2 linked regions of the Oryzias latipes genome follow. The main gene of each other region encodes a partner of the protein of the gene in region 2 in a complex. Links are inferred from orthologs where the notes say so. Each region holds a gene or a part of one and is shown on either strand. Other genes may lie near its edges.

What was found.
Region 1: flcn (region 2) and lamtor2 share a complex: the UniProt entries of both Homo sapiens proteins name them as parts of the lysosomal folliculin complex. The link is inferred for Oryzias latipes from reciprocal best matches to the Homo sapiens genes FLCN and LAMTOR2.

Annotation. Positions count from the first base shown.
Region 1 is NC_019874.2:28,614,039-28,629,609, reverse strand, and holds lamtor2 (ragulator complex protein LAMTOR2), read left to right. Parts: upstream 1-6,491; 5' UTR 6,492-6,637; coding exon 6,638-6,705; intron 6,706-7,321; coding exon 7,322-7,484; intron 7,485-8,434; coding exon 8,435-8,524; intron 8,525-10,439; coding exon 10,440-10,496; 3' UTR 10,497-10,716; downstream 10,717-15,571. Other genes in the region: uncharacterized protein LOC101171775, read right to left, coding at 189-380, 509-565, 1,524-1,640, 2,552-2,722. UniProt on the Homo sapiens protein: As part of the Ragulator complex it is involved in amino acid sensing and activation of mTORC1, a signaling complex promoting cell growth in response to growth factors, energy levels, and amino acids.
Region 2 is NC_019874.2:19,456,606-19,472,092, forward strand, and holds flcn (folliculin), read right to left. Parts: upstream 8,339-15,487; 5' UTR 8,269-8,338; exon of another isoform or gene 8,151-8,268; intron 8,013-8,150; coding exon 7,800-8,012; intron 7,332-7,799; coding exon 7,185-7,331; intron 7,108-7,184; coding exon 6,886-7,107; intron 6,808-6,885; coding exon 6,641-6,807; intron 6,534-6,640; coding exon 6,442-6,533; intron 3,756-6,441; coding exon 3,595-3,755; intron 3,486-3,594; coding exon 3,372-3,485; intron 2,031-3,371; coding exon 1,907-2,030; intron 1,789-1,906; coding exon 1,663-1,788; intron 1,142-1,662; coding exon 1,039-1,141; intron 944-1,038; coding exon 736-943; 3' UTR 338-735; downstream 1-337. Other genes in the region: leng9 (leukocyte receptor cluster member 9), read left to right, coding at 8,849-8,981, 9,815-9,908, 10,125-10,246, 10,330-10,656, 10,729-10,972, 11,434-11,548, 11,629-12,291. UniProt on the Homo sapiens protein: Multi-functional protein, involved in both the cellular response to amino acid availability and in the regulation of glycolysis.

The sequences.
Region 1 (15,571 bases), about 9.2 Mb from region 2:
GGTCTATAGAAATAAGGACATCTTTCAAATTTAGGCTTGAGACCTCAGTAAATGTCTTGCTTTAAATTCCTGATGTGGCCCCAGACTCTGTCTCCAGTGCCCCTGGGGTAATTGGAGTTTGACAGCCCGGGTTTAAAGGTAGAAAGGAGGTTAGTAGAAAATGAAAGACGTCCAGCTGCATAACTGACCAGTGTCAGCTGTTGGATCTCGTTACACTTCTCCTGCAGCGGTGTTTGGGTCACTGTGGCAGGGGTTGGGTAGCGATAGTACCCATAGTCGCAGCCCCAGGGTTCCATGGTTGCTATGTAGATGCTGTAGAGAACGATGGCTGTGATGGACAAAGCAACTCCTGCTACGCTCACGATGACGTTAAGGACCACCTGTGAACCCAAAACGGGTTTACACAGTTGAACATGAAACACGGTACTGCTTTAGTGAAGACATGCAGAGCTTTTTTTGCTCCCAATTTGAAAAGAATAAATAACTAAGAAAGTAGAAAACTGCTCACCAAACACCGACTTGGAAACCTCTCCGATAAAATGCACATGAAGCCAAATGCAATGAACTAGAAAAAAAAGGAAAGGTTCATCATGTCCTGTGGTGTTTAAAATGAATATGCTAGCATATTTTCTAATTCTGAATTTATACAAATTTTAAATTATTGTTTTATTTTTTATTTCACCTTCATCACTTCACGGTATCTTTTGGCTTTCATGCATATTTCATTTTTATATGTATCCATTATAATGCATAACTGTTTATAACCATAACTTATTTAGAATTTGAATCAAAATAAAGGATCTGCTTCAAATAAATATTAGCACTTAGCATTGTCATCAATGATCAGTATAATACATAACATACAAGTTATGCATATAACCCTGAGCCCTAGCCATTTTCTGTCATTCTTCATCCTAATTTATAGTCCTTTCAGAAGTCCTGCATCATACGTTTGAGATCAACTGGCTTTAAAAGTGCTATTTAAAATATTCTTCTTGTAAATTTAACAATCTTAGCTTTTTTTTTTGTTTTATTGTTTATAACTCCATTATCAATTAACAAATAATACAGCATTTTATTTTTTATCCTGTACCTCCTTCTTGGCAGTAAAATCAGACTTTTTTAGGTTCTTGTACTTCCTACCTTCTTTAATAGCTAAACTAAAGATTTATTTTATCATAATTTGACCTTTTGAACTTTTTTGTGTCATTAGAGCTGGTTTACAATTTATTCTGGTCATTTATTGATTGATTTAGGATTTGCAGTAATGTTGAGTTTCTTCTCAAATATCTACATGTCTTGTTTTTTTCTTTTGTCTGTCATATTTCATTATCAAATCCATTATTCATCTAATTTTGTCTTTAACTTGCACAATGTTCAGCATCAATTGTTTACAGCGTTGTCACCATAGCAACCACGCATTCTCACGTCAACTCCTTCAGATGAGGAATTAAGTTCTGGGATTTTGCTTTCAGCATTCTTCAGTTCATGAATGAAATCCAGTTGTTATGCAGGTATCTTACCAAAGCTCCCAACCAAATAGGAAACTCTGTCATATTTAGATACCACGCAGTGAGCTGACTCGTGCGGAGGATTAATCCAGGGCCGATGTTAAGGAGCCCAATCATAATCTGCATAGCCTGTAAGAGAGACACAGGAACTCAGTGTTCTGCAAAAACCTCATCGTGTTGTTTGCAGTTTTCTGTCATGGATTTCAAACATCACAAACAAAACATCTAAAATAATAGAAAATATCCAGATTAAGATAAGGTCTTCCTGAAGAATGTGTTATTACTCCAAATTATGAAGGCACAAATATGACTGAAAACTTCACAGTTTTTGTAGGTTTAGCTTCATTAACCAGAACTTTAAATGTCAAATAGGACTCTAGAACAGTTTGTGACAAACTGCAAAACATTCTCCTAAAGTTCAGCCCACTGTTGTTTTTCCACATCCATAGAATCCAAAAGGAACATTGTTAGAACGTTCTAGCACACTGTATGGTCACATGACTTTGCTAAATTCAGTGTTTCCACACATTGGACTGGAATGATGGACTGATCAGTTTCTGCTGACATCACGTGTGTGTTTGTCACAAGAACAGGCAGACAGCTGGATCCAAATGCAGCAGGTTTATTAGCTCAGCTAAAAGTCCACGAAGCTAAATCATGGTCAGGCAGATATGAGATAATCCGAGGAGAGACAGGGTAGTCAGGATCCAGGCGAGAGTCGGGGCAGGCGGCAGGCAAACAGAGTCAGAAACCGGGTCAGGAGACAGAGGATCCGGTCCAACTACAACGCTCGGTAAGGAAGGCAGAGCAGCACAAACGATACTTCTCACTGAGTGAGGCTCAGGGCAGAGCTTAACTATGCTGTGGTTGATGAGTGAATGAGAGTCGGGTGTGTGGCATCCAGGAAGTGTGGTTAGAACTCTGGAGATGGTTCCCACTGGTGACCAGAGAGGGAGACAGAGCTCTGACTTCTGACAGTGTTGTTGGCTGTGATGTCACTTTGTCGTTTTTACATTAGAGTAAAACAAACCAGGACTCACCCCAAGGATGGACAGAGACGCTTTCTTCTTCAGCGGCTGAGACACAGAGCACAACGCCGGGCTGTAGCAAAGACCTTTGAGGATCTGGCAGATGGGGGGGCAGGAACTGCTGGGGTCGGAGTTCAGGGTGATCACTGTGACCCCTTCACCTTTGGTCATCATCACAGACATCCTGTCTGCGGATGTAGGAAAAATATCAATTATGTGAAAAATTGCGATATTTTATTGGTCAGTAACAATGTTTAAAAAACAAATTTTAAGCAAACATTTAGCTCAGCGTCTTACTTTTGTGTTCCACTTTAACCCATTGATTGTATGTGAGAACTGGAATGAGTGAGCGTGACGTCACTCATAGAAAATAGTTCACTTCCTGGCCTGTGCTATCCATGTTGGAGCCAGATGTTGTGAGTTGAGCTGTGATTTGTTCAAATTGAGCGGAGTCAACGTTTCTATGGCAACCACTCTCTGAAATCAGGACTTAGTAATGTTGGGAGGTCACACCTCTACCATTTTAAAGTGGACTACACAAAACATGTCAATCAAACGTTTTAAACGTTCGACATGGGTGCCAGCAGGCTCCCCTTACTTTGCTTGAGGCATCTATAATTTGAATACCTTTAACAATAGAAAATGTATCAAGACAAAAATAGGATTATCAAAGTTTATCAGAAGTCCTTCTGACCAATAGATTGACTGAGAAGTCTAAAGAAGTTTATGGGATTTAGGTTCCAAACACTTCCTGTTTGGAACAACAGGGAGAGGGGTCACTCAATCCAGTTCTCATATACAGTTAACCACTAGTTGGCAGTGCACCACAAAACGCCTCATTTAGCAGCTCTCTAATAAGATCTAATGAGAACCGTCTCATAGTAGATGTTTACTCTTCAGTGAGGCGGCAGATGTTGTTCCACAGCTCAATGATGCTCAGTTTAACCTGAAATAGGCAAATTTGTTTCTTTGATCTTTTAATCTATCATCATCATCATATAGTTCAATAAAGCAGTTTTGGAAATGTGTAGCACTTTATTTTCTTAATCATGCTTACTGGTTAAGGCACCTTTCAGCTTTGTTTTTTTTTTTAATAAAAAATATCCTGTTAACAAACCAAACAATACTGTGTTGAAAAAATATTCCATAATTTATCTAAAGAAAAGCACCATGAATTTGCTTTGGTAAAGCAACTTGTTCGCAGTCTGTGTCACACAGCCACTACGTACATTTTGTGCACAGGTGAAAATTGTTCATATGTGAATATACGTCTTTACATGAAATTTTCACAGATGTACAAATGAACCACAGATGTACAATGGAAGATGTAAGAATAAACCACGCAAAGAACACGTAAATCTACATAGAACATGAATTTACGTAATTTGAACATGATATGTGCGCCGTATACGCAAAGTTAAAGGTTTACATCAACAGTATATGCATGAAACGTCTGTTACACATACGTGGAACGGTCATGGAAAGTCAAAAATGTGTATGCGACTCGCATAAATCTCACACAATTGCTTAAGATTTACTTAATAATTGTGTGTAAAGGCCCGTACACACCGGGACGAATATTCGCCAGGCGTTATTCGCCAGCGTTTTTCGCCATGTTTTTTGTGTTCACACCCAGGCGATTTTCGCTGACAATGAGCCGAGCCAACATGCAATTTCATTCCCTGACGTTAGATGGCGCTTAATGTAAACAGAAATACTCCTGTACACAAGGTGGCGCTGCGCAACTTTATGCTTCTTAAAGTCGCTTTTCACTCAGAAGAAGAGAGCAAGTATTTACGCGATTGTCAGAATCAAACAAAGAAAACATGAATATTTCAAGCACCAGTAGCTCCAACTGGTGCTTGGTTCGGGGATATTTTAGAATGTCCGTCATTATTTCTTCGTGGCAGTGTAGACGCTATTTGGCGTCTATCTTCTTCGCTGGTATGTGTGCTCAGCAAGGCAGTTTTGTGTTTGAGCGCCCCCAAGTTGTGTTTTACTGTCACTTCAGAAGCTCCAGACACGTGTGCAAAAGCGCCATTCTCATTGGTCCAGTAGATTTCGACGCGACGCGTCGAAAAAAAAAAACGAACCCGAGGCGCTTTTTTTTTTTACGCTTTGACGCGTGGCGTTTTTTCGCGTCGGTGTGCACACTCTCATTGGTGCCCTTTGTTTAGTCACGAGGCGTTAAATTCGCCGACGAAATTTGTCCCGGTGTGAACAGGCCTTAAGCTATGTAAACTACGCATAAACTGCAAAATTTCAAAACCGCTCAAAACCAGACTCACGCAAAGAGTCGTTGGCCGAAATCCTCTACAGATCTGTGCCCATTGACAAATGAATGAATTACGTTTATCACATATGTTTCACAAAAGACAGAACTTAAGCAAAATGTGTGACATGGCCTTAACCCTTGTGTTATCTTAGATGACCCCACCCTTACATTGACGTGTTCTCCCTGCCATGACAAAGGTGGATAAAGGTGGAAAGATTTCATGTAATCCATGGACACCAGTGAAGATCACAAATCATTGAAGAAAAAAGGTTCAGAGCACTTCTAGTGGGTCTACATGACCTAACTCTCTGTGTTAAAGTGCCTATGATAGCACAAGGGTTAATGTTCTGATAATGAAATAAAATGTATTTTCTGCCATTTTATAAAGGTGTATTAGTATTCACTCAAAGTTTTGCAAATTCATACTCTTTTTAAAATTGGTGATATTTAGCCTTTCTTGCAGCCACACTGTACATACTGATTAGATTTTTTTTGTAATTTCTTTTCTCCAAAAGACACTTTTATTCGTCATCATCATTTGTCCTTTCAGTTGCAGAGACTAGAATAGAAAAAACTGATTTTTTGACCTTTCATCTAAACTTCAGAGGTGTCAGAATGACCTCAAAGAGTTTTACTATAAATTTAAAGAGTTAACTTTTTTGTCACATATCTAGAAGGAAATGTGTTTATTTCCTTCTGCCAAAATGAGACTACATCCTCTCTGATTTTACACCACGTCTGTAGCTTTCAATGGTTGACGGTATAAACAAAACTGTAAACGGATGCACTTGTGTGACTATAATTTTACCAAAACACATATCAGAGAATACATATTAACCATGCACTCATGTACCATAGCAGTTACAGCATGGAATCAAATCAACTTTTGTTTATACAAATGATTGGTTTGTGTCTTTTTTATAAGTGTGTCCACTCAAACACAACAGATTTACCTCTTAGAACAAAATCCTCTTCTTACAGACAAAAAAAAAACAATAATATCCTCGGCCCGATCACTTTTTCTGATGTCCAAAGGGCAGGAGGGAAACGATTCTGCCAAACACTTTGCGCAAACATGTCCTCCCACCAGGAAGCCAGCAGACAATAAAAACCTCAAAGCAGACTAACCTTTACTGTAAGGAGGAGTGTCAAAAGATTTAAATAACACTTCTTTGGTTGAAGTAGAATAAAAAGTACACTTCTTTGAAGCATAAAATCTTTGAGATAAAAACTCTAAATATGACAAAGGAGATGAATCAAGGAGGTGAAGTTTTCGTCGTTCACTGAAGCAAACTATATTTCCCATGATACATTTCCAAAGAACTGGTCATATTCTAGCAGCTCTAATAGGTGTGAGTGTGAATGGGAGTGTGATTGTGGCCCTGCGACAGACTGGCAATCTGTCCAGGGTGTCCCCTGCCTTCACCCACAAGTGGCCGGGATAGGCTCCAGCAGCCCCGTGACCCAGAAATGGACAAAACGGAGGAAGATGAATGAATGGCCATATTCCAGTTCTCAAAAATGTTTACAGACTACATGGGAAAGTAATTTAAAACAAAAAGATTTGTGAAAAAATCAGGAATAATTAAAAATTTAAAAATAAAGTTTAAAGAAAAACATAATAAATATAAATAGGAAACATGTATTTGGATATAACTGCAATTCCCATGATGCATCTCTAAATGTACCGGAAAAGGAAACAGAAGAAGAATCGAGTCAGCTGACTTTGCTCTGTTATTGAGCAGTTCTCTCTTCTTTTTTAAGCCCCGTGTTTATTCAGTCAGATCATTTTTCTGGGTTTTTTCTCCTGAGAGAGGTCGGCCATGTTGCGACCCAAAGCGCTGACGCAAGTTCTCAGCCAGGCGAACACGAACGGCGTCCAGAGCACCCTGTGAGTACCGCGAGCTAGCAGGCTAACATCCAGCTAGCTAGCAGCGGTTTGTTTGCGTCTAGCTCCTTAGAACTCTTAAAGCTCCCCTGAAACGACACGTTTATATAATTATTACTTCACCAACTTAATACTACTTTTACATTTTCATTATTTATTGCAATAAATACAAATATATTTTTTCAAGATTTGTTTTCCGCTGTTAAATCAAATACAGTTTTACACGAATTTCAAGCAGTTGAATTTTGATTTCAAAATAAGAGTCTTTTTAAAATATATTTGGTTCGTTTTTATTTTTGCTTAGAAAGTCTGTTCAGGGTACAAAATATCATTATCAGGTAGAAAAAAAGCAAAAAAAATCGATTTACATTTAAAAAGTGGTGTGGGAAAATAAGTAATCTGTAATGTTTGATGTAGATCTGTTTGATATAGATCTGTTCATCGTTTTAGCCATTTTGCATCAATCGATCAATTTCTGTCCTGGAGACCTCCTGACAAAATTACTTGGTTTTCATGGTTTGAAAACGGAATGGCGTTTGTCTTAAAACTTTGTCACTGTAACTTTTCATCATTGTGTTGTTTTTGTGTGTAATGAACAACCGTCTCTCTGTGCGAGCAGCCTACTGAACAACGAAGGCTCCCTCCTGGCGTACTCCGGTTACGGCGACACAGACGCTCGAGTGACCGCTGCCATCGCCAGCAACATCTGGGCCGCCTACGACAAGAACGGCCACCAGGCCTTCAACGAGGACAAACTCAAGTTCATCCTCATGGACTGCATGGTGGGAACTTTCTCCTTGTTTTCCTTCAGCCCTTTTGTTGAAGTTAGATTCTATGAATGCCCCAACATCTCTGAAGGGGTCTGCAATTTGAGGCATCACAGCTGTTTTTTTTCCCCCTCCATTGTGACTTTAAAGAAAAAATGTGTATTATTTAAATAAAATAATGTGTTTGTAGTTTTGCTTTAGCATGCATACATGGTGGCACCTGTTCAGTCTGGTCTGTTTCAAACGGGACCAAATGGCTCTTTTAATGTTGTACAAAATATGAATAATGGGACTTGAGCAAACCTTCAGATATGGAAGGAGCTGGCTCTTGATACCAATAGCACCACAGGAAGACACCAAACACACACTCCTTGTACTCCTTGCCCATTTTTTTTTGCCCCGCTCTACAGTTTTGTAAACATTGCTCAAGTCAAACGTGTCAACGTCCTGCATCATTTTTCTCATGATACATAAATAATCTTCGCTCATGCAAACAACCAGATGATTTTCTTATTTCTAACTTCCAGCTCTGAGGCAAAATGTTTAACTTAATTCCCGAAAATCAGCGAATCCACACAGTAAAACCCCCACTCTGCCTTAGGAGGAGGGGCTTTGTGGAGAGTCTTGCTCTGTAGATGGAGGGGAAACCTGCTGCATTTGGTCGCATAAAAAAAGCTGAGATCCATTCTTTCAAACCTGTGATTCAGTTCGATTTGCGCCTCATCGCCCCTTATTCAGTAATAATTCATGTCTGCACATTAGCTGAGAGCTGCTGAACTGAGTGAAGGTCAGGCTTACATAAATACTGTCGTAAATCTGAGCATCGCAAACTAACAGCAAAGCAGTGTTCTGTGAGAAATCCATCTGACTTAGTGGATTTATGATTGGAAGTTACAACCTGTAAAGAAAAGTGACTTTTAGTCTTTGGACTCGACCAATAAAAAGGCTTTTTTTTTTTTTCTCAGGAAGGGAGAGTGGCCATAACGCATGTGGCTAACCTGCTGCTTTGCATGTACGCCAAAGAGACGGTGGGCTTCGGGATGCTGAAAGCAAAGGTGAGGGCGCTGCTTCCTCACATGGGTCTTCATCAGCTGTGGTTCCTCAACGAGTCCCGATTCCTGACCCCACAAGTTCAGTTCAACCAAGGACATTTATTCACTCGTTTATTCATTCACTCTCCTCTATGTAGTTTAGTGGAAGTGAAGCATATTTCAGATCAAATTCCGATTCCAAGTTATTGGATTTGGAGTTGCTGCCGATACCGAGTTCCGATCTGTTACTGTCGTAGCACATCCAAAAAAAAATGACAAACTTAATAAACAGATCAACATTTTCCAAATTTTTAAAATTTTATTAAGCTTCTTTTAGCATTTTACACGTAAACAGAGCACTTCTGGGAAGTATCTTCAACAATCAAGGAAAAGTAATGCAATTATCAAATAGAAAAAATAGTTAACTATAAACTAGTACAAACTTGTTAATAGTTAACTAGTCAAAATAGGTTAATTAGCCCTATGAGAAAGTTTGGTGACTGTAGCCTTAACATCTTCAGAACTGTTGAACATTTTTGATCAGATGTGATTCATTTCCCTGTTATAATATCAAATAATCAATTTCCAAATTCATCGTTGTAGCATAATTATGATGAGTATTTGTGACTTTCAACAGAACCATTGACTAATCGTTAGTATTTTTATTATTATTATTATTATTATTATTATTATTATGTATTTATTTATCTTGGTCTATTTTTCCCAGAACTTGCACTTTGTAGGCGGTCCCTTATCAGCCCACCATCAGTTTCATTCTCTTGAAAAGAATGAAAAAAAGAGCAATTTTTATTTATTTACTATTTACAGTCTTTGTAAGTCGTTGGTAAGTTAAGATGAGCCAATATAGACACTTGCTGTCAGTATAAAATGTTTGATATACCGTACTTATTGTGTCAGGAAGTCTGAATCTGTGAACAACTGGTTAACTTTCCCGAACTGTGTTTGTGCGCCTCCTGGTGGCGTATTCCTGCTCCGCTTTACGACAATAAAACGTCCTGATCCATTCAGGAAGTGCCGACTTCTAGTAGAGTATTTATCTGTAATGTTAAAAATATATATATAACGGTAATTTCATTTTGATTTGACTTATTGGTTTATTTCAAGCCTTAATTGAATTAATAATAATAATAGATTGGATTTATCTGTGCTTTTCCAGACACTCAAAGCGCTTCAAATGTGTCCATTATTCATTCACTCTTCATTCATAGTTGGTTCGCGCCTACGGTCCCTCGGACCATCACTGGGATCATTCATGCACATTCATGCTGGTAGCGTTAAGGGTCTTACCCAAGGGCCCTCACTCACTGGTGTTTACTGCTCACCAATTCAATTGCTTGCTTGTTAATTCCCAGCTCTGTGAAGCGAACCCTGGTTTCCTGCATGTCAGTCCTAAAATATCTCTGATTTATCAAGGTCATCACAGAAAGAATGAAATGCATTGATTAAACAAAGACGCATTTAGGTCACGTTTGATTGATTACATATAGTGATAATTAACTACAGTCAAGTAGAACTTGATTTATTCTTTAAAGGGGCAGGAAGGAGCAGATTTATATAAACCCACCCTTACTGAGTTTTTTTTTTATATTTTTCATAATCCAGTTTATCCTAATAATGATAATAGAAACATTACAATCCCTGATTGACATCACTTTTTCAAACACCTGCAGAAGAACAATCAGAGAAGAGGAAAAGAGCAATGAAAAAATGACAGATTGAGGGAAAAGCTTTCTTTTTAAAAGCTTTTAAACTTTATCTTTAGTCTTTGAAGAGGCCATATTCCCCAGATTAACCTTGGCTCTCATGCACAATGATCTGTGCAGCTCTCAAAGTCGGGTTGGAAATACGAACACCCGCCGGGATGAGCTTCTGGTTCCCCACCTGAACCCGCCTTCTGTGACCGTGTGTGTGCTTGCAGGCGGAGGCGCTGGTGCAATACCTGGAGGAGCCGCTGACTCAGGTGGCGGCATCGTAGTGAAGAGTGCTTGATCTGAGGCCTTTGCGGACTTCTGTAACTTTCTGCTTTTCATCTGTGTGGGTGTGAGTCTCTCCAAAATGTCCTCCATTCTGCCCCCTGCTGCTCAGAAACGGATCATTTTGGATTCTGGCAGAACTTTGGAAAATCGTGCTTTTCTGCATTTACAATTATCATGCTTTTATTTTGAAGGTTAATAAAAATGTTGGTTTAAAAGTTGGACGTGTTTCCTGTTATCTTTAAACCAGATTTTAAAAAGCTAAAAGTCAAGAAATACTTTTTAAAAACATCTCTTTGCTCTTTGAAGGAAGAATTGATGGATTTTTATTTTCCAGATGAGAAACAATAAACATGTTTGTTTCATTTCATGATTCAGTCTTTTCACTTGAATCATGGAAAATCCAGCTGCAGCTTTAGAGGACAGGTGTAACAAAACAGGTGAGCATGAAAAAGAAGAAATAAAACAAAGGGAGCCTTTTAAAACTTCAGACTTATTTTCACTTTGTTTATAACCTCAGCGGTTGGTTCTGAGCTGCAGTCATCCTCTCCATTCACTTCACTCTCACTCCTTCACCCTCCCAGTAACTCAGGTTAGTGACATGAACCTGCTGCTGTGGGGTTGCTGGTTCAAGTCCACGGCCAGCAGGAGGAGTCGTTCCTCTACTGTTGAGCAAAACAGAAAAATCCAAAGCAACCTTTGGTTTTTTATCCGGCAGTGTCTCTGTATAAATATTGATGACAGAATCATTTATTAGTGAAAACTTTTTATTTGATCAAAACGGCAGAATTTGATCAGAAAGTAGCTCAGTTTTCAATTCTGATTACATTCTTTTAAATTCAGAGTAACAATTCTCATTTGTAATTTTTCTCGGTGTTTAATGTATATATTTTTTTTATTATTCAAACTTCTGTTTTTAAGACAGTTTTTGTGTTCTGTGTTTTTTCTTACATAAATAAAGTTGTTTGGGTTGGAATCCTTCCGTGTGCCATTTCAGAAAAGTGATCACTTCAGCAGAAAGGAAAGAAGCATCTGGAATGTGAGATAATTTGATCATGAAAGACAGAACTTCCTGTGATTACAGCAGAAAATTACTGACAACCACCGTGTGACGTATAGATAATTCACTCATGGTGTAACTAGAGAGACCTAAATAAAAGTGCGAGGCTGGAACAGTCACCCTGAGGAAGAGCGGTTCGGAGCAGAAGGGTTGTCTGTTTCCAGCTCTCCTCGTGGAATTCCTACCTGACTCTTGGCGTCTGTTTCCTTTGTTAATACTGTAGCGTCCCACTGACGCAATAATGAAGCGGAGGCGACCGTTTCTAACCGTGAGGCTTTTTAATGACTTAGGAACAGTTACTGTCGGCCGTAACCACGCCAAATACAGCACAACGATAATCAGAACTTTCCATCAAAGCATCCATCCTCCCCCAACCCCCTCGTGCACCCACGACCCCTCCTTTATTGTCTGCTCCTCCGCCCATTCTCCCGCTCATCCAATCACACTGGAGCAACGATGTAACCCAGAACACATTAACAGAGTCCCAAAAACGTTAGTCGCTACACTGCCTCCCCCCTACAAAGTCCCACGTCCCGTGGGGTCACACACAAAGTCACGGAGGTGGGGGGGAGGCTGTCTCAATCTCCTGGGCCTCCGTGGAGCCGGCACGGATGGCGCCATGTGATGTCCCGAGACCACCTGCTGCTGTGGGGGTGCATGTGGGGAATTGGCGGGGGGGCCAGCCCTAGCATGGGTGGGGGTAGCTGAGGGGGGCAACGACCTCCCAAAGTACTGCTGTGGCCGTGCATCACCCCTATACGGAGCCAGTCTGTCCCTGTGGAGGGTCACACGCCTTCCTCCAGGTGGGAGCTCAACCCTATAAACCACTTCTCCCAGCTTTTCCAGCACCTCACAGGGCCCCACCCACTGACAGTCCAACTTAGGGCATCTACCCTTTTTCCTTTTCGGGTTGTACACCCACACCAGGTCTCCTGCCTTGAAGTCTTTGCCTTTGGCCCTCAGGTCGTAGTTCCTCTTCTGCCTTATGCCGGCTTTCTCTAGTTGATTGCGGGCAAAGGCATGAGCCGTGTCCATTCTGTCCTGCAGCTTCCTGGCATATTCAGGTCCAGGCGGAGCTCCCAGGGCATCAGGGGGTTTCCCAAAAGACATTTCTGCTGGCGTGCGTAGCTCTCGTCCCAACATGAGCAAAGCAGGTGTGCATAAGGTGGAGTCCTGCACTGCAGACCTGTATGCCATCAAAACGAGTGGAAGATGCTCGTCCCAGTCGCTCTGGTGTGCTGAGGTGAGGATGGCTAGTTGCTTCACCAGGGTCCTGTTAAAACGTTCAACCAAGCCATCACTTTGGGGGTGTAAGGGGGTGGTCCGTGTCTTCCGCATGCCCAAACGCTCACACATGGCGGAAAACACAGCAGACTCAAAGTTCCTCCCTTGGTCACTGTGAATGACCTCAGCAGCGCCAAACCTAGAAAACATGCCCTCCACCAGGGCATCTGCAACAGTCACTGCTTCCTGGTCTGGGATGGCATATGCTTCCGGCCATTTTGTAAAGTAGTCCATGGCAACCAGAACAAATCGGTTACCTCTGTTTGTGCGTGGAAACGGGCCCATGATGTCCACTGCTACTCTCTCCATTGGTGCCCCTGCTGCCAGCTGCTGGAGCTCAGCGCGGGACCGATCAGGGGGGCCTTTATGCGCTGTACAGATGTCACAGCGGCGGCAAAAGTCTTCCACATCCCTCCTAAGCTGGCCCCAGTAGAACCCCTGGCGGATGCGACGGAGGGTCTTTGACACGCCAAAGTGTCCAGACCCTGCAGCTCCATGGCAACCTTGGAGGACTGAGTTTCTCAGCGTACGAGGGACCACCACCTGCCACCGTTCTTCTCCGGTAGCCGGCTCTTTCCAGGCCCTCTGAAGTACTCCATCCTTCAGTCTCAAAGCATCAAACTTTTCGAAGAGTCCTTTGGAGCCGGGGGAGCACCCTGCCACCTCCCCCCACTCAGGTTTGCGGCCGGCCTCCACCCACTGCAGCACTGGTTGCAGGTCAACATCCTGCTCCTGATGCGCTCTCCATTCAGTGGAGTCCACACCCTGCACCAGTCTGCAAACTGGCCAGCTGCTTTCACCGGTGTGGCTCTGCTCCTCTCTGCTGATTACTGCTTCCCGAGCCTCCCTTTTCTCACAGTACTGGCAGCCTGCCAGGGCACAGGGGCGTCGAGACATGGCGTCAGCATTAGCATGGCGGGAGCCCGGTCTATGCTCCACTGTGAAGGAGAATGAAGCCAGCTCCTCCAGCCAGCGAGCGATTTGACCTTCTGGCTCCTTGAAGGTCATCAGCCACTGCAGAGCAGAGTGGTCTGTCCGGACTGTGAAGGGGAGGCCGCACAGATAGTATCTGAAATGGCCTATGGCTTTGACAACAGCCAGGAGCTCCCTGCGAGTCACACAGTAGCGCCGCTCCGCTTTACTGAGGGTCTTGCTGAAGTAAGCCACCACCCTCTCTCCTGCTGACCCCATCTGGCTCAGCACGGCCCCCATTCCCACATCACTGGCGTCCGTATCCAGAATGAAGGGTAATTTGGGATCTGGGGGGGTCAGGATAGGAGAGTTTGTCAGAGCCTTCTTCAAAGAGCTGAAAGCCTGCTCACACTCCTGCGTCCAAACAAAGTCACAGTCCTTCCTCTGCAGGTGAAACAGAGGGGCAGCAATGCAGGAAAACCCGCGAACAAACCGCCTATAATAGGAGGCTAACCCCAGGAAGCTCTTCAAGTCTCTTAGAGTGGTGGGCGTTGGCCAGTCTCTCACAGCTTGCACTTTCTCCTCCAAAGTGCTGATGCCCTCGCCCCCAATCTTGTGACCCAAAAACTCCAGTTCTCTTCTCATGAAGCAGCACTTGTCAGGGTGCAGCTTCAGACCTGCTGCAGCAATCCTCTGCAGGACTTTCCTCAGCGATTCCAGCGCAGCCTTGAAAGACCCCCCGTGTACCAGAATGTCATCCAAGTAGACCAAACATTCCTGACGGGGGATGGAGGCCAGCACCTTCTCCATCAGGCGCTCGAACGTGGCAGGAGCGTTGCACAGGCCAAAACTGAGCACGCGGAACTGCCACAACCCTCTCCCGGTGCAGAAAGCAGTCTTTGGTCTGGCTGCGGGGCTGAGTGGCACCTGCCAATATCCACTGCGCAGGTCCAATGAGGAGAACCAAGATGAGCCAGACACCAAGTCCAGAGACTCATCTATGCGGGGCAGCGGGTACGAGTCCTTCTTGGTCACCCCATTCAGCGGCCTGTAGTCCACGCAGAACCGCATTTTCGGACCCTTCTTTTTCTTGACCATTACAACCCCTGAAGCCCAGGGGCTGTCTGACGGCTCGATGATGCCGCCACGCAGCATTTCCTCAATCGCACTGTCAGCAGCCACTTGGTGGGCAAGGGGGAGGCGGCGGGGGCGTGTTTTAATCGGGCGGGCATCTCCAGTATCGATCTCATGATGAACTAGGTGTGTCAGCCCCACCTCATCCTCAGAAAGTGCAAAAATGTCTCTATACTCCAACAGCACCTTCCACAGTTCATCCTTCTGTCCCGGCTGCAACCCATCACAGCTGCGCCTCCAGATCTCCTTCACAGCTGTCACTCTGTCAGCCTCAACCACTGCGTTCCGCTGATCTGAGGGCAGTGGCTGCGTCTCGATCTTAGGTTGAGGAGTGGTGGGCAGCGGAATAGAGTAGGGCGGGGACAGGTCCTGTTGCATCTCTACCGCCCTTGATGTCTCTCGGGGTAAGCACTGGGCCCGAATGGGTCGGACCATGGGCACCTTAGGCCCCCCAGGGAACTCCAGGGTATTACCCCCTAGGTCCAACACACATCGGGCTGCTCTCAAAAAGTCCAAGCCCAATATGCACTGATCCTGCACAGCTGCAACCCACACCTTACAATCCACCGTCATGCCACCCACTCGAATGTTCGCTGTCCCCCGGCCAAGCATGGGAGTCAAGTCCCCGGTCACAGTTCGTAGCTTGACAGCTGTGGGTTCCAGTAGCATCTCAGCTGGGACCATGTC
Region 2 (15,487 bases):
ATATATGTAGATTTAAAAAAAAAAAAAAAAAACCTCGACAGAATAAAAGCCACATGCTGTCTGCAAACTTTAGAAAATCAACAGGCTTCAATAAGTTGTATGAAGAAACGAACCCCCCCTGAGATTAAGACTGCAAAATCCTGCCGATGTGGTGCTGAAGCCAGGCCTTGTTGTGCAACCGTTTAGCAGAAAAACTGAAAAGTGTTGTCTTACAACACTTGGGACTTGCTGGCCGATGGCCAGTTCAACAATTGAGCTTCTGGACAAACAGCCCCTCCTTCTGCACCCCCCTTCCCAGTATGTATTCCTCTGGTTCACCACAAGATGGAGCCAGCTGTGGAGTTACACCCACTCACCATGTGATGATTTATTTCAGCTGAAAATGTCAGAATGACTACACAGAAGTGCAAATTGCTGTAGTAATAAGTTACATTTTGCATTAAGAAATTCCCTGTGATACAAAAAAATGCTTATATATTATTTAAAATTCCTCAGCATGGTAATGTGTGCAGAGTGAGCACAATAGATTTATTCCTTAAAAAGACAATAGATGAGCAAATTCCTTCATTCACAGTCCTCTAGTTCCCTTTCATTCCAGCTAAAGGTGCTGAACAGTAACAAAGAAAAGACTTATGCATGCTTCGTTTAGCATTTAGATGTTGCTTTCACTTTTCCTTTTTTTTCTGAGCTCCCCGTTTTTCGCCCCTTCACCGGCTCCTCCTCCTCCTCTCTTTGTCACTGGCTGAGGCTCCTCTCCCCTCCTCGTACTGCTGTCATTAAATGGCTCTTGTAGAGTTTACTGAGTCCTGTCATCCAGTACTTGAGCAGTCTGACGTTCTCCTCCTCGCCGGGCCCCGTGGCGCCGAGAACAGCCAGAACCCTCTGGGTGTCCTCCCTCCCTCGGCCGTCCACTTTGGAGAACTTGAACAGCACTTTGACCTTACTGAAAGAGAGAAAATTCACAATAGGGTTCACTAAAGAGCAGGGGGGAAAAAATCTGTCTTTAACTGACACCAAGTCTGCCTCAGTAGGACTCACTTCATCCACTCCTCCTTCAAACAAAGCAGGCAGTGAGACACGACGTCCACAGACAAGTTCTCGTTTGACAGGGCGGCCTCCAGCTTGTTTAATAAAGTTGGACCTGAGAGGAAAAAAGAAACACATTTCTGTTTACAGAACAGGTTTGGATTAAAGCTGGGACAGCGATGAAGCCAACCACCTAATAGGTAGTTTCTAACGGGAATTTAAACCTTGTTATTTTATTATGTAATTCGAAAAAGGTGTTTTGTTTTAATGAAATGCTGCGGTGAAGTCCCACTAAAAAATGAAAACATAAAACCAAAGACATACTGTATTTTTTTCTCTGCTGGGCACAACAGGCATTATAAGCTTCTCTTCAAGCTCATAATTTATAGCAGCGCTTCAGTGAAAAAGTATAGGATTACAAAACAAAACAAGCCCGGAAGCCTCAGCAGTCATCTGCATTTCCCATCTCTGCTGTTTTCAAGCTACACATATAACCCAATTAATATTTATTTATAAGAGTTTCTAAAAGAATAGAACATTTAGAATCTTTCAGAGCAGCTGGGACATGAATTCTTCCTCCCAAAACGCATCAGTGACCACATATGTGCAAGCATTATTGCCGGTGTGAGCACTCACCTCTGTCTGTTGGCTGTGTGCTGGCACTGCTGATGCTGAAGTGATTGAAAGCGGAGATGTCATCTTCGCCTGCAGCAGACGTGGCATGGCTCCTCTCTGAGGTCACGTCCACCAGCACAGAAAACTCTTAGGGAAGGTAAAAAAGTAAAAGAGTAAAACAAAAAGATCCCAGAAAATTCCTCCAAAGCAAAATCGAACAATATGTGGGTGTGGGGTTTCCCGGCGACACGAGGAGATGTGGTACCTGAGGAGCTGACGTGTGCTGGAATGGGAACATCGGGGCTGAGACCCAGGAAGTTGCATTTGTAGGCCTCCTCATACCGATCGCTGTACGCCACCGAGCGCACACAGCCGACTGGCAGCAACGTCTAGAAGAACCACAGACAGACATTAAAATCAGTTTGATGTCTTATGCCATTTTAAAAGCATTCCAAAATTCAAAAACTTGTTTCGTTTTCTAGGTCATAATTGCAGTAGTTCTGAGTTGTGGGATGTAGCAAGGTCACCCCACTTCCCGTCGCCCATCTGGTTACATGTTATCCTGCTAGCTTATGGCCCCTCACAACCCCAACCTAACGTTACCGATGCAACAAAAATGGGAAGCCATATTGCAGCTATCCAGTCATACAGTTTCGAGCCAAATAGTAGCTTGGATGAGGAAAATGAAGACACAAACGTGGATCTATCTGTCTGCAAGTGGATGCATCAGAATGGAGCTTGTGACCCGTCCAATGTAGCTTTTTTTAAATACAAGCTTTTTCAAGCGGCATTTAGTTCATCTGCTCCTGATTCACAACGATTTAAATAAAGAAATACTTAGAAATGCAATTTTAAGTTTATTTCTCCTTGTAGTTGTCCTCCAACATCAGACACATGCCAGAAAAACATGTTAAAAACACAAAAAACATGATTTTCATCAGAGTGAGTTTTTAAGCACTGCTGTTCATGTTGTACCCGAATGGAGGGTGTTTGGCTGTTCCATCCTCTCTACCACTAAAGAAAGAACAGCATCATAACACAGGCAGGACAAAAGGCTTGCTAATTCAACACTGAGCACAAATCCAACAGTATAGCAAAATGGAAATAAAGATCTTAAGAGGGGAATCAAACTGAGCAGATATGAGCCTGTCATCTTTTCTCTTAAGCTTTTTGTTAAGAAAAAACTACGAGATGCCAAACCTTCCGCTTCTATATTGGGATGGGGCAGTTAGACAGACGTGTTCCCTAAAGGAACTGAAGAGTTGCAATACTTAACTTACCATGTTAAGAGAATATGAGGCAGGAAAAAAAGTTCAGAGCTCTGGTGAAAAGGTCGAATGATGTTGATAAAAGGAATTATTTTAAAGTGCAGGAAAATACGAGTGATTTTCCATTTCCTCGTTTTCATAATTTGTTTCATTTTAAATAAATGTAGATTCAGTTTTTGTTTTTTATACTACTAGATACAATAAATAATAAAACATGACCATTTAATTACCATCAAACTGGAGGCTAATGTATCTTTTCATTTGTGTTGAACTTTGTTTTTAACAAAAACATTAGCTTAAAATTCATAAAAGTAAGTGGAAAAAACAGATTTTTTTTAAAAGATGTGACTATGACTCAACTGCATTATCACCTAGCTGAATGAATGAGGGACCTTGGTTTTAATCAGTTTTATTTGCATTAAAATATAAAATAATATTTCAGGGCAGAAAGGGGTTGGGCACCTTTAGGACAGTAAAGGCTGACTGGATGAGCACAGGGTCTGCTCCTCTCCAAATGACCTGATTTCCCATGAGCACATGCCACGCTAGCTGTCGAAAGTCAGCCGCCCCTAAAACCTGTAAAGAAAAAAAAGCACCAACTTATGGATACAATACGGAAGAACTCCATTTTTCTATACTTCCTTCTGTTTTATATGTGATGGCTGCAATATGTAGAGGACTTTACCTGTCTTAAATGCCTAAGTGACCTAAACTTTGGACCAGGTAGCTGCTCTAGCTTTGAATCGTCACACAGGAAGTCGAGGCCCAGCTGGCTTGCCGAGTGGTAAAGCTGCGACTCGGATCCACCTCCTTCTGCTCCCTCCCAGCAGCTCATTTCTTCTTGCTCTTTAAAGATGACATCAAGAGAGACGTTCCAAATATGTTTAAAGTTGAAGGAAACGGTTACTAAGGGATTTTTCACGTCACCTTTACACTTTTCATGTGATTTGCACAAGATTCAACTTGTTCTTCAACATGACATCATCTCATCTCTTGGGCATGACTAACTGCAACAGCTGACTTTGAGTAAAATACAGCTTTAAATCATTTAAGGCAAAAACATTTACTTAAATAAAAAATCCAACTGGTATCTCTACTACTATCTACTAAAGTACCTGTACATCCCAAAAACCACAGGATAAGAAAGAAGTCCTCCTGAGAAAAGTTATTTTTTTAGTCACAGTACTTCCTTCATATTTATCCCTAATCACCGGCACTGTTATTCCTTAAAAGACTTTACCCACCTCTGAAGAGTGCAATCTCCTCAAACCAACTATAGAAATGACTGTTTAGACATAAATATTAAAGTAGAAGGATAAAACAGATAAGGAAACAGATAAAAGACTATCTTAAAAGGAAGGTATTTTATTAACTCTTTGGAACGTAGGGCCTAAATCTCAGTTTTTGTCTACTTTCGAATTTGCCTTTGTATTTTCAATTTGAAAGACTATTTGATTGCTTGTCTAACCTCAGCTATGTGGCACTAACTTTATTTAGTCATTTTTCCATGTTTTAAGTCACACACTAGACAGGAAATCATACAAAAATGGAAAATTCCATCTGGAAAAAAGTGCTTACATTTGCTGTGGAAACCTCAAAAATGTTCAATGAAACTGTTTTTAGAAATTAAAATGAAACTTTGAAGTGTAATTTTAAAACAAATTACAACAAATGTTGTTAAAAATAAGAAAACAGCAGAGAAAATCAAAAGTTGTGCTGCATAAGAAGCTTATTTAAGCTGTCAAGTAAGATGAGTCACTAGTTCATCACAAGGTTTTGTCTTGGGTGGATTAATTCTGAACCTGACAGATGCATACCACTAGATTTGCTCTGTGTTTGATATTAGGTTGTGGAATTCAAATTCCTTGTTTCCTAAGGTCTGGGTCTAGACTCGGGTACTTTCCTGTAAATCCTTTAATCGCACTTTAACTCCTCACCATAAATATGCAAACCCTCTCTGGAAAGGAAGTGGATTCAAGTACAAAGGTGCAGTGTTTTTTTTTTGTTTTGTTTTTTTCTGGTCAAAGACTGTGACCCAGTGATTCTCAAAACGAATTTCCGACCAATGATACAAAACAGCTGCAAACTGCACAATCTTATAAATTCATCTAATGTCAAGAAACCTAATTTCTCCTGTGGACAAAAAAAATATTTATCCTTTTTTATTAGGTAGATTTGTTTTAATGCCTACCCAGCTCACAAATAACATTACACTGCAAAAACGCAAAATCTTACCAAGTATTACTGTCTAGTATTTATTTTGAAGATCTTATTACACTAGATCAGGGGTCATTAACATGAGCCAAATGTGGCTCTTTAATCCCTATTTTGTGGCTTTTTGGCTTTGAAGAAAAACGGTTACAATTTATATAAATAAAGAGTTTTAGTTCTTGTTGATTTGTTTTGGTTATTTTGGTCACTTAGGTTTAGATTTTTAATACATGTCCAGGTGCTGCTCAGAGACAATGTTCTTAAATTATATAAAGTCCAACTGCATTTACATATATAGATTTGTAAAAACAATTGGATTCTACGTCATTATCATGTATTGAATAGTGAAATGAAATAAACAGGATGAAGGTATACCACAGTCATAATAACAGAAAGCACCATGTTTGACTTGACTTTCTTGCATTTTAATTTAAGTAAATCTGCTGCAGCAGGGGGGGTTGTCATTTTATTTTGAAAGGACTTTTTAATGTGCAGCTGTCAAAAGTAAAGTGATGTAATTCTATTCTTGTACATAATTAAATCTAATTTCATAGATAAATGGCTTAATGGGCACAAAAAACATAAATAAAGTTTATTTTTGTAAAACAGTGGGACTTCTCGGTGGGTTTTGGTCAGTTTGAAGTTGGACCAAATGTCTCTTTAACCCTTAAAGGTTGCAGACCCCTGAACTAAATAAAAGACCCAATTTGTTTTAAGGCAATACATTTTGAATATCTTGTTGAGTAAGTTGATCTCGAAAACATCTCGTTTTTATATGAATATCATTAATAAAACACATTTTTTCCTCTTTATATAATATTTTTCAGTTGAAGTTTTATTTGTCTGGTGAGTGGTTTTGTTTCATATGTGTTTTTTAAATAATCCTTAATACAAATGGATCTTAAAATGTGTAATTCTAGTCTTATTTCAGGATGATTTGTTGGACTGTTGCTTGACATAAGACATATTTGGGGGGGAAGAAAAGTGTACAAATATACCTACTTTATAGGTATAAAACTTTTTTTTAAGAAAATCAGGCTTAGTTCAAGACCTAATATTTCCCATTTTAAGAGCAATAAACCTAAATATGAGTATTTATAGCTAAAGTCATCATTTAATTAGTCTTAAAAAGGGCGGGAGATCAAAACTTTTTTGAGAAATCTTACCAAGACAAATTCTACTAGTTCCATAGGCAGATTTTTTTCTTTTATAACAAGGGAAAGGCATCCTATATTTTATATATTTCTTATTTGTTTTAAGAAGGAAATCTTCTAGTGTGATCAGACACAAACAGTTTTGTAGCCCTGGACGTCATGCTTACCTGTTCGTCTTTCTATAAGCACCAGTGTGTCCTCTGTGGGGGCACCTTCAAGAAGCTTCTCCGTCAGTCGGCTCCCACAGGCTTTTAGCAACCTGCAGAAAGAAGGGTGTGAAGACCCAAATCATTATTGACAGCTGAGAAGCTACAAATCAGCCTAAAGGGGAGTAATGACAGAGTGACGCCGGGTCAACTGTCTCACCAGCTAAAAGAAGAGTGCAGGCTGGCCCAGAGATTGGGATGCTGTGTGAGAGAGGTCAGTGATCGGGCGGCGTTCCCACTTCTTTGGTGTGGAAAGACTGCGGGGGAAAATGCATTGTTGATCCGCATGGCTCGATGAGGGCAAACCCCCTGCTCACTGTCAAATACCTAATAAAAGAAAAATGTGTTCGGTCAATTAAGCTCAATACAGAATCAACAAAGGGGTTGTTTGTTTTTGTGGCCTACTTTTAGAGCTGTGCTCTGCAGGCTGTGTATGGTGAGCTTTAGGTGACGTAACAGGAAAGGCCAAGAATTGATGAGGTAGATCCTGTCCATGGCTACAATAACGATGCTGTACCAACGCTGGAATCCTCTGGCCAGGCTGTCTTTAATAAAAAAGGTGTGCGAAAACACAAACCCCTGTTGCTCGTCTCCAAAAAATATCGGTCCTTCACGTCCAGGACACACCTGAGGCAAAAACAGAGAAAACTGGGTCGGAAATTAGGGCCAAAAATGAGAGCAGACATCGTTTAAGCAAAGTTTACCTCACAGCTGAGGCTGCGTACACAGGCTTGGCGCACCATGCTAAAAAGCTGCGGCTGCCTGGGATGCTGATGGCTCAGAAATCGAATTCCTGTTTCATCATCGAAGCTCACAAAGCCAGGGTGAGATGCAGGCAGAGATCTGCATCCCTAAGAAGGTGTTAAAGAAAAAGAAAAAAACAGAAAATGACATGTGGGAAATGGATTACCAGCCGATAAGTTCTCTTTAGAGACCCACTCCAATGAAAATTATGTTTCTGTTGTTTTTAACGTGTGTTTGTGCCATTTTTCTGATGATAGAATGTATAAAGAAAATTAAGCTTCAAATTGCCTCTCTGCGTATTTCTGTATTCGTCTTCAGTCTTTGCTTTCCTCGTCCAAACTGTACGGCTGGTTAGCTCCAATATTGGTCGGCATTTTGTTGCACAGGGAATGTTAGAATGGGGGTCAATTACAGGGGCCGTAAACAAGTAAACAAACAGGCTTGCATGCAGGCTTACTACCAACCCCCCCCCCCCAACAGCACAATCATAATTAAAAGGCCACTGGGAACGTTTTGAAAATAGATGATCGGAGTGGGACTTTAAGGTCCAGGTGCCAAGAGCGTGATAAACTGACCTCACACATCTCTCCTCTAGGTGTAGTAGAGCTGTTGGCCCTCATGGTGAGACCTTCACCCTCACGGTCCCCATCTCTATCTCTGTCTCCTGGCACCGGGGTACCAGTCTGGGAGGACGGGTCTGGGGATGGGGGATGCAGGGCTTCTGTGCAGAAGAGGGTCCGGGGGCCATGGAGCTCACAGAAGTGACACAGAGCTACCAGCGCATTCATCTGAAATGGAGAACACACGAATCCATCAATAATTTAACATTCATTGCCGTTTTGACTACAAACAGATATTTACAGGTAGACTGTATGTCTCCTAACAGTTTGTGACGTTACAAGTCAATCATAGAGAGTTCTTCTTACCTTCAGCGGAGTCGAGCTAAATGCTGCTCAAAACGACTTTTATGGAACAGCCATGGCTTTTTAGTTTAAAAATACAAAAAACATGTTTCGGGTCGTTTTTTTAAACTAAAAAACTCACCAATAAGTCAACAAGTTACGCTTTTCGTTTGTCACCGGGAACTGCTAGCAAACAACAACAGAAGGGTCACATGACGCGGAGTCACGCGCTCGAGCAGAAATGATGCGTCTAAGCAAGTTTTATGTTCATTGGCACTCTTGGACCTCAAATTCTTGACGTTTGAAAATGTAAATAAATTCTCCAATTATTTTTCTTTAAAAATTTACGATTACATTCCTGAAATCAAGAATCATTTAGTCAAAAATAAGACTAGTCGATTGAACACTAACTACATTACCCATAGGTCCACTCGAGACTGAGGTCAAAGTACATTTGAGTTGGAAGTCTGCATTTTCTTACTAGTCTGCTTAAATGTCAAAATATGTGACCGTGGTTTTGATTTTTGAGTGCGTTTAAGTATATCTGCTTTTTGTAAAAACAATAATATTTCTAAAATTGTTTATTTTTAATCGCCAAAAACTAGACACTTCCGTGTGTTCCCACACACAGTAAAGAAAACCGGGTGTGTCCAGTTTATTTTTACTGACCAGTCAAAGGTAAAACTACCTCAACGAGGCAACAGGGCCCTTCATTTGTGACCATGGCGTCCCGTGGGACAGGGGCTCCCACGTTTTCACCTGAGGGCCAGGTAGATGGTGGCGGGACCCTCACAGAACCAACCAATAACCCAACTGTTGGAACAGCTGACACCCAGAAGCCCACTGATGTCGATGGTAACACCATATTTTTATGTGTTTTTAACATGTATGTACTTATTGCTGTTAATCTAATTGGTTAATCTAAATTGGTATGTTGTTCAAATCTAATTAGGATTTTAGGGGAATCAAACTCCATGCCAGATTATTATTAGTATTATTTTTTAGAAGCTATCAGCGTTCAAGTCATCAATAGCAGTGTTTCTGGGAAGGAATTTGTTCTGACAGCGTGTTTGTGTGAGCCTCTGGCCCTTTAAAAGGGAGCAGAATGCAGTGGACCCCCAGCCCCTCACTTCCTGCAGTGTTCATGTCCTGGAAACATGTCTGGGTTTTTAGCAAGTGAGTCAGGACTGAAGACTCCCACCTCCAGAGACTCCCACCTCCAGAGACGGAAAGGAATCGGTGTCTGCTCCCACTCCCACCCCTACTCCCCAACCTTAAGTCACAAGGAAATTTCCTCAGAACAGACAAACCTCCCTGCTGCTTTCAGTAAACTGTAATATCAGAAGGGAGTTTAATAACTTCAGCGTCGGGGAGAGTCAGCTTTCCCATTATTGTACGGGGGATTAGGTTATTACCACCTGTTGTTTACTCTCTGATTAGTGCACTGGAGATGAATTATGAGGTCCATGTCTATGGAAGGGTTAGAACAATCAAATATAATATCATTTATGTCAGGGCGAGGAATGCAGAGGAGCAGATTTAATCATTTGTGACGCACAGACTGATCTTTGTGTGGATGCCAAGAGCAACAATAATGACCATATGAGTTTTCAAATGAAAAATCTGATCAGTTCGTTTTTTAGTCTTGACTGCATATGTTTTCCTGTTATCTTTGCTGTGATTTGCAGACTTGGCAGAGCTGAAAAGCGATGGAGTCAAAGTGTGCCAGTTTTTCCAAAGTGGAAAATGTCGCTTTGGCCACAAATGTCGCTCCTTCCACAGGTCCGATAACCTTTATCTGTCTTTATAAAATACTATTTTTAAAGTACATATGTTTTATGTTCTGAATATCATGGTTATAAAAGCCATTTACAGATTTAAATACTACTGTTGAAATGTGTCTGCTCTATATCTTAATTTATGTGGTTCGACTCATCTGAAAGCAAGTTTTTCCCTTTTGAATTATTTCTTTTTAATGCCTTTGCCCTTATTTTTCAGTGAACCCCCACTCCACGTTTCAGCACCCATGTCCCCTGAAATCGATGACAAACAGAATGAACAAAAAACGGAAAAGCTCAAGAAGAAAAAAGGGGCAAAGCAGAAAAACAGTGAAGAAGTTGGTAGGGGCCTTCATTTTTTTATCCTAAATTTTTAGCATTCTCTCCTCTTTTTTTTTAATTTCTGAAAAACTACTCTTTTGCAGAGGTGACCAAAAAGCCACGTATGCGCACAGCAGATGACGTGATTTCTCGCATTTTGTGGGACTCGTCAGTGGATGCATCGGAGTTTGTTGTGGGGTATGTGGATCGCTTCCTTGGGGTCCTGGAGCGTCCTTTCTGTGACTTCAACTGGGACGCCAACCCCTGTGACTGCGATTACTCAGTTGAGCTGGCCTTGCCGAGACACAGGATCCAGTACTTCAGCTACAGAGGGAAACGCGTCTGGGACCGCCACAGCAGGACCGACAGGGTCTTTGGCTCCACAGGTCAATCTTTGGCTCCCCCCTTTGGAAAAGAAGAGGAAGTAAACGGTGAGTGAAGATCACAACTCTGTATGTACATCTGACAGAGATACGATGGTTGATTGGAGCCGTTTGCTTTAGCTGAAGAAAGCCCGGACCACCAAGAACAACCACAAGACAGTTGCGAAGCCGAACAGGAGCAGCCAACGACTGGCAGTGGACAGGACGAAAGAAAAACAGAAGACGGTGATCATATGAGGAGCACTGATGTGGAGGAGCTGAATGAGAGGATTTCCAGCCTCGTGTCCACACACTGTGAGGAAAACACTTCCCGAGGAGAGCAGGCGTGTCCTGGAACATGTGCTGTTGAGGATGCTCCAAACGGGTCAGTAGTTTGATCTTTTACTTGGAGAAGAGAAAACTTACTGTGCAACAATTTAATAAGATTTCCAGATTTACGGTTTCTATCCTCATCTCAATGTGTCTGAAACTGTAAATTAGAAGCATACATCAGTGGAGAACAGAGGGTCCTCCACTTTAAATCAGATCCTTCATATTGGACTGGATGAATATGCTGCTGTTTTAATATATATTTATGGGATGTCTGACCTGTAGCTGCAACCTCACTGGCTGGGAAAGAAAGTTTCAAATGCAACATGTACCTTTCTGCATTTGTCAGGAGCTCTTTGACCAGTTTGTCCCAAACACATGTAACTGGTATCTTATGTAAGAAGAGAACGGTTATTAACAACGTTCAAGTGGAATTCAAATAATTTAGATGTTATTTACATTTCTATTTGGAACACAGTTGTCTTCATTGATTCCATTTAACCAATTTAATTATAGAATCCAGGCTTTAAAAGAGCAGCAGCCGTCAAAAGGAGAAAAAGAAGAAGAAGAGGGTCAGGAGACCAATTTGGAAGAGTGGGCGGAAAGTTGGGAATGCAAAGAAGACGCTCAGGTGTGTACGGCAAAACAAACCCGATCAGAAATGCTTTCTGTTTGGATTAATCACGCTTTTCTTTGTTTTCATTCAAATAGAGTTATCCAAGAAATTTTTATATGAGCAAAGGCGCACCATCGCCTCTAGAGCAGAGGGTGGAGAAGGGTGGCGTGCGCCCACCTAAAAAACGACCCACCCACTTCATTTGCTTCCGAGCCAACACTCCCGCCGTCCTCTCCTGTTTCCAGCAGCTGCGGGAGGAGCTCGTTGCCCTTTTACCCTCCTCCGCCCCTCACTGGCAGGCCGCGTCCACGCTTCACGTTACCCTCTGCCTCCTCAACCTGCACAGCCCGGCTGAGGTGGAATCTGCCAAGGAGATTCTCCGCCACTTTTCCCGTCTGGATCGCAACCCGCCTGTTGCTGTGACCTTTCCAGTGAAGCTGAAGGATTTCAACGGGCGAGTGCTGTACCTGAGCCCCCAGCCCCAGCTGCACCTGCAGCAGCTGAACGGCGGTCTGCAGGAGGCGTACAGGCAGAAGGGCTGGCTCCACAGGGACTCCTACAACCCACGGTACCATCTCACTCTGGCCAAGTTTCACGACGTCAAGCGGGAGAGGATTTTTGACGGGGTGGGGGACCTGAAGGCAGGGAAGGGTTTGAACTTTGGCCGTCTGCCTGTGAACACCTTACACCTGTGTGCCATGAGCACCTCTGAAGCTGATGGTTTTTATGACACCCTGTGCACAGTGACCCTTCGATAATCACGCACAGATATTGCAAGTGACGCACATGCTGACACCGAATGCTGGTTTACAATCTAAGGTTTTACTAATGACCTTATTTATGGTTTTAATTGCCTTTACCTTAAAAGTTTATGTAGTTTCATAAAATCGCCCTGTAAGCAATCTAAAGTGGTATCTTGATTGGACTGGGCTTTTATTTAGATTTTAAAGGGTATAATCCTTTTATTGCTTTTTAAATGCATTTTAGACTTTTATTAAAACAAATTAAATTAAAAAGCTTTGTCCAACCTTAAAGGCCGACTCCAATCATCCTCTGATCTATTTTCAAGCATTCACAGTGTTCTCTTAATTACGATTGTCATTTTTAGCCTGTCATTTCTAGGACATAGTTTCTGCAGAGCGGCAGGAGTTTTTGTCTCTGTTGCCATGGAGCGATCCCACCCTCCTTCCCCTCCCTGCTCCGGAGGAGCTCTCTGTTTACTTGGTCTCCCGCTAGCTTACAGCCCAATGTAACATTATCAGAATCAGAATCAGAATCAGAATCAGAATCTTTTATTATCATTCTGCAGAGCACAATGAAATTTTTTCCAGCAACTCTCGATATAAAAAAGGTAGAATAAAATAAAATAAGAATAAGGAGCTATATAAGGCATAAATACTTAAATACTGTACAGTAGAGTGGGGTGAATATTGCACGAGTGGGTATTCCACATTAGAATGGATATTGCACATACAGCATGAATATTGCACACAGTTTAAAATAGAGTCAGAGCATTGTCAGCTGTGTGCTGACAGGGGTTAGTGGGTTATGTTAAGTCTGGGGGGAGGGGGCGGTTTCGTTGACCCAGTTGTGTGATGTGTGGGGGGGGTGGGGGGTGGATGGACCTCACTGCTCTTGGGAAGAAGCTGTTCCTCAGTCTGTTAGTGTGAGTTCTGATGCTCCTGTATCTCTTCCCAGAGGGAAGAGGTACAAACAGGTTATGTCCTGGGTGGGTGGGGTCTGCAACAATACGACCAGCCTTCCGTCGGACCCGGCTGTCATACACTGAGTCGAGTTGTGGGAGAGGTCCTCCCACAATCTCCTGTGCGGTTTTCACCACCCGGGCCAAGTCCTTCCTGTCCTGAGCGGTGCAGCTCCCGTACCACACCGTAGCACTCAGACAGAGGATGCTCTCTATGGTTGCCTTGTAGAAGTTCCCCAGAAGTTGTGATGAAAGTCCAGTCCTTTTAAGCTTCCTGAGAAAGAAGAGTCTCTGCTGAGCCTTCTTCACCAGGTGGGATGTGTGCAGCGACCAGGTGAGGTCAGATGTGATGTGGATTCCCAGGAACTTGATGTGGTCCACCTGCTCCACCTCCTCCCCGTTAATGAGGAGGGGGGTGTGTGCCACCTTTCTAGTCCTTCTAAAATCCACAATGATCTCTTTGGTCTTGGAGGTGTTCAGGATGAGGTTGTTGTCAGCACACCATCCTGTCAGGTGCTGAACTTCCTCTCTGTAGTGAGTCTCATCATTGTTGGATATGAGACCTACTACGGTGGTGTCGTCGGCGAACTTTAAAACCAGATTTGTGGAATGAATAGCGGAGCAGTCGTGGGTGAACAGAGTGAAGAGGGCGGGGCTGAGGACACACCCCTGTGGTGTTCCTGTGCTCAGGATCAGAGTGGATGATGTTGAGTCCCCGATTCTCACCACTTGGGGCCTGTTGGTGAGAAAGTCTTTGATCCAGAGGCACAGGGAGGCAGGCAGACCCAGGTTGTGGAGCTTCAGTGTCAGCTTGTCCGGGATCACTGTGTTGAAGGCTGAACTGAAGTCCACAAATAACATCCTGACATAGGTGTCAGGATGCTCCAGGTGGGACAGGGTAGCATGCAGGGCTAGTGATACTGCGTCCTCTGTCGATCGGTTCTCCCTGTAAGCGAACTGATGACTGTCCAGAGTAGCAGGGATGATGTCCTTGATGTGGTTCAGGATGATCCTCTCAAAGCACTTCATGATCACCGGTGTCAGAGCGACCGGCCGGTAATCATTGAGGCACGAGACGGATGATTTTTTTGGCACCGGCACGATGATGGAGGACTTGAGGCACACGGGAACATCGCTTATCGCTGTAACAAAAAGCGCGAGCAGTTATTGAGCCATCCAGTCTTACAGTTTTGAGCCAACTCAGAGGAGGAGGAAGACGAAGACTCACATTGATCTTCTTCTCTCGCCTGTTATTCCTGGTTGGGACATAGGCCGCAAACAAGAGCTCTCCAGGCAGACCGGTCTTGGGGGAGATCTTCCTGTCTGTCCCCACTTTTTCCCCATGCTATTGGCCCCTGCTTCCAGATCTCGGCGCCCCCTCCTTGTCTTTTTCCTTGGAGAATCCATGTCAGGGCCTGCCTTGAAGTGCTGGATGCAGGTTTTCTTTGGGTGTGGCCAATCCATCGCCATAGTCTTTTGAAGACGTCTTCCTCTACTGGTTGGTGCTCCGTCCTCTCCCATAACTCTTGGTTGCTGATGGTGTTGGGTCAGTGCACCTTAAGGATTCTTCTGAGAACAGGTGTTAATGAAGGTCTGGAGTTTCTTCATTAGCTTAGCAGTAGTCCTCCATGACTGAGCACCATAGAGTAGTGTGGGTTTTACCATGGTGTTAAAGATCCTCATCTTGATCTTGAGTCAGATGTGCTGCTCCCCAAAACGACAAGAGAACATGTTAAAAACCTTATTTTCCATCGGACTGGGTCTTTAAGGTTACATTTTCAATAATATTTCCTGAATTTGTGACTTTTTTGCAAACTTGATGTGAAATTAGGGGTAGCTTTTATAACATTTGATCATTTTTAGACTCTTTGCTGCCTGCCTTTAAAAAAAACCCAGATATTTAAAAATTGTGTGGCATACTTGAGGAACCATATTAATAACATATCCAGCTTTGGGTTTATGTTGATGGCTTATCTAAGCTCGAAGATGAAACAAAAAAACAAATTTTGTCATTTCTTTTTTAAACGGCTTAAGTCAAAAAGCTTATTTTACAGAGAGAGCTTTTTCCTACAATGTTTTCCTCTCTTGAAAGTACCTTTGCCACTGAGAGTCTTTACAAAAATTGAGAGCTAGAGGTGTAACGACTCATTTAACAATTCAATTCCTATAATACTTTTTGGTTAATAATACGATTCATAGTCGATTTTGGTTCATTTTGAACGATTTAGTTTCATAGTGTTCAGCCCACTGTT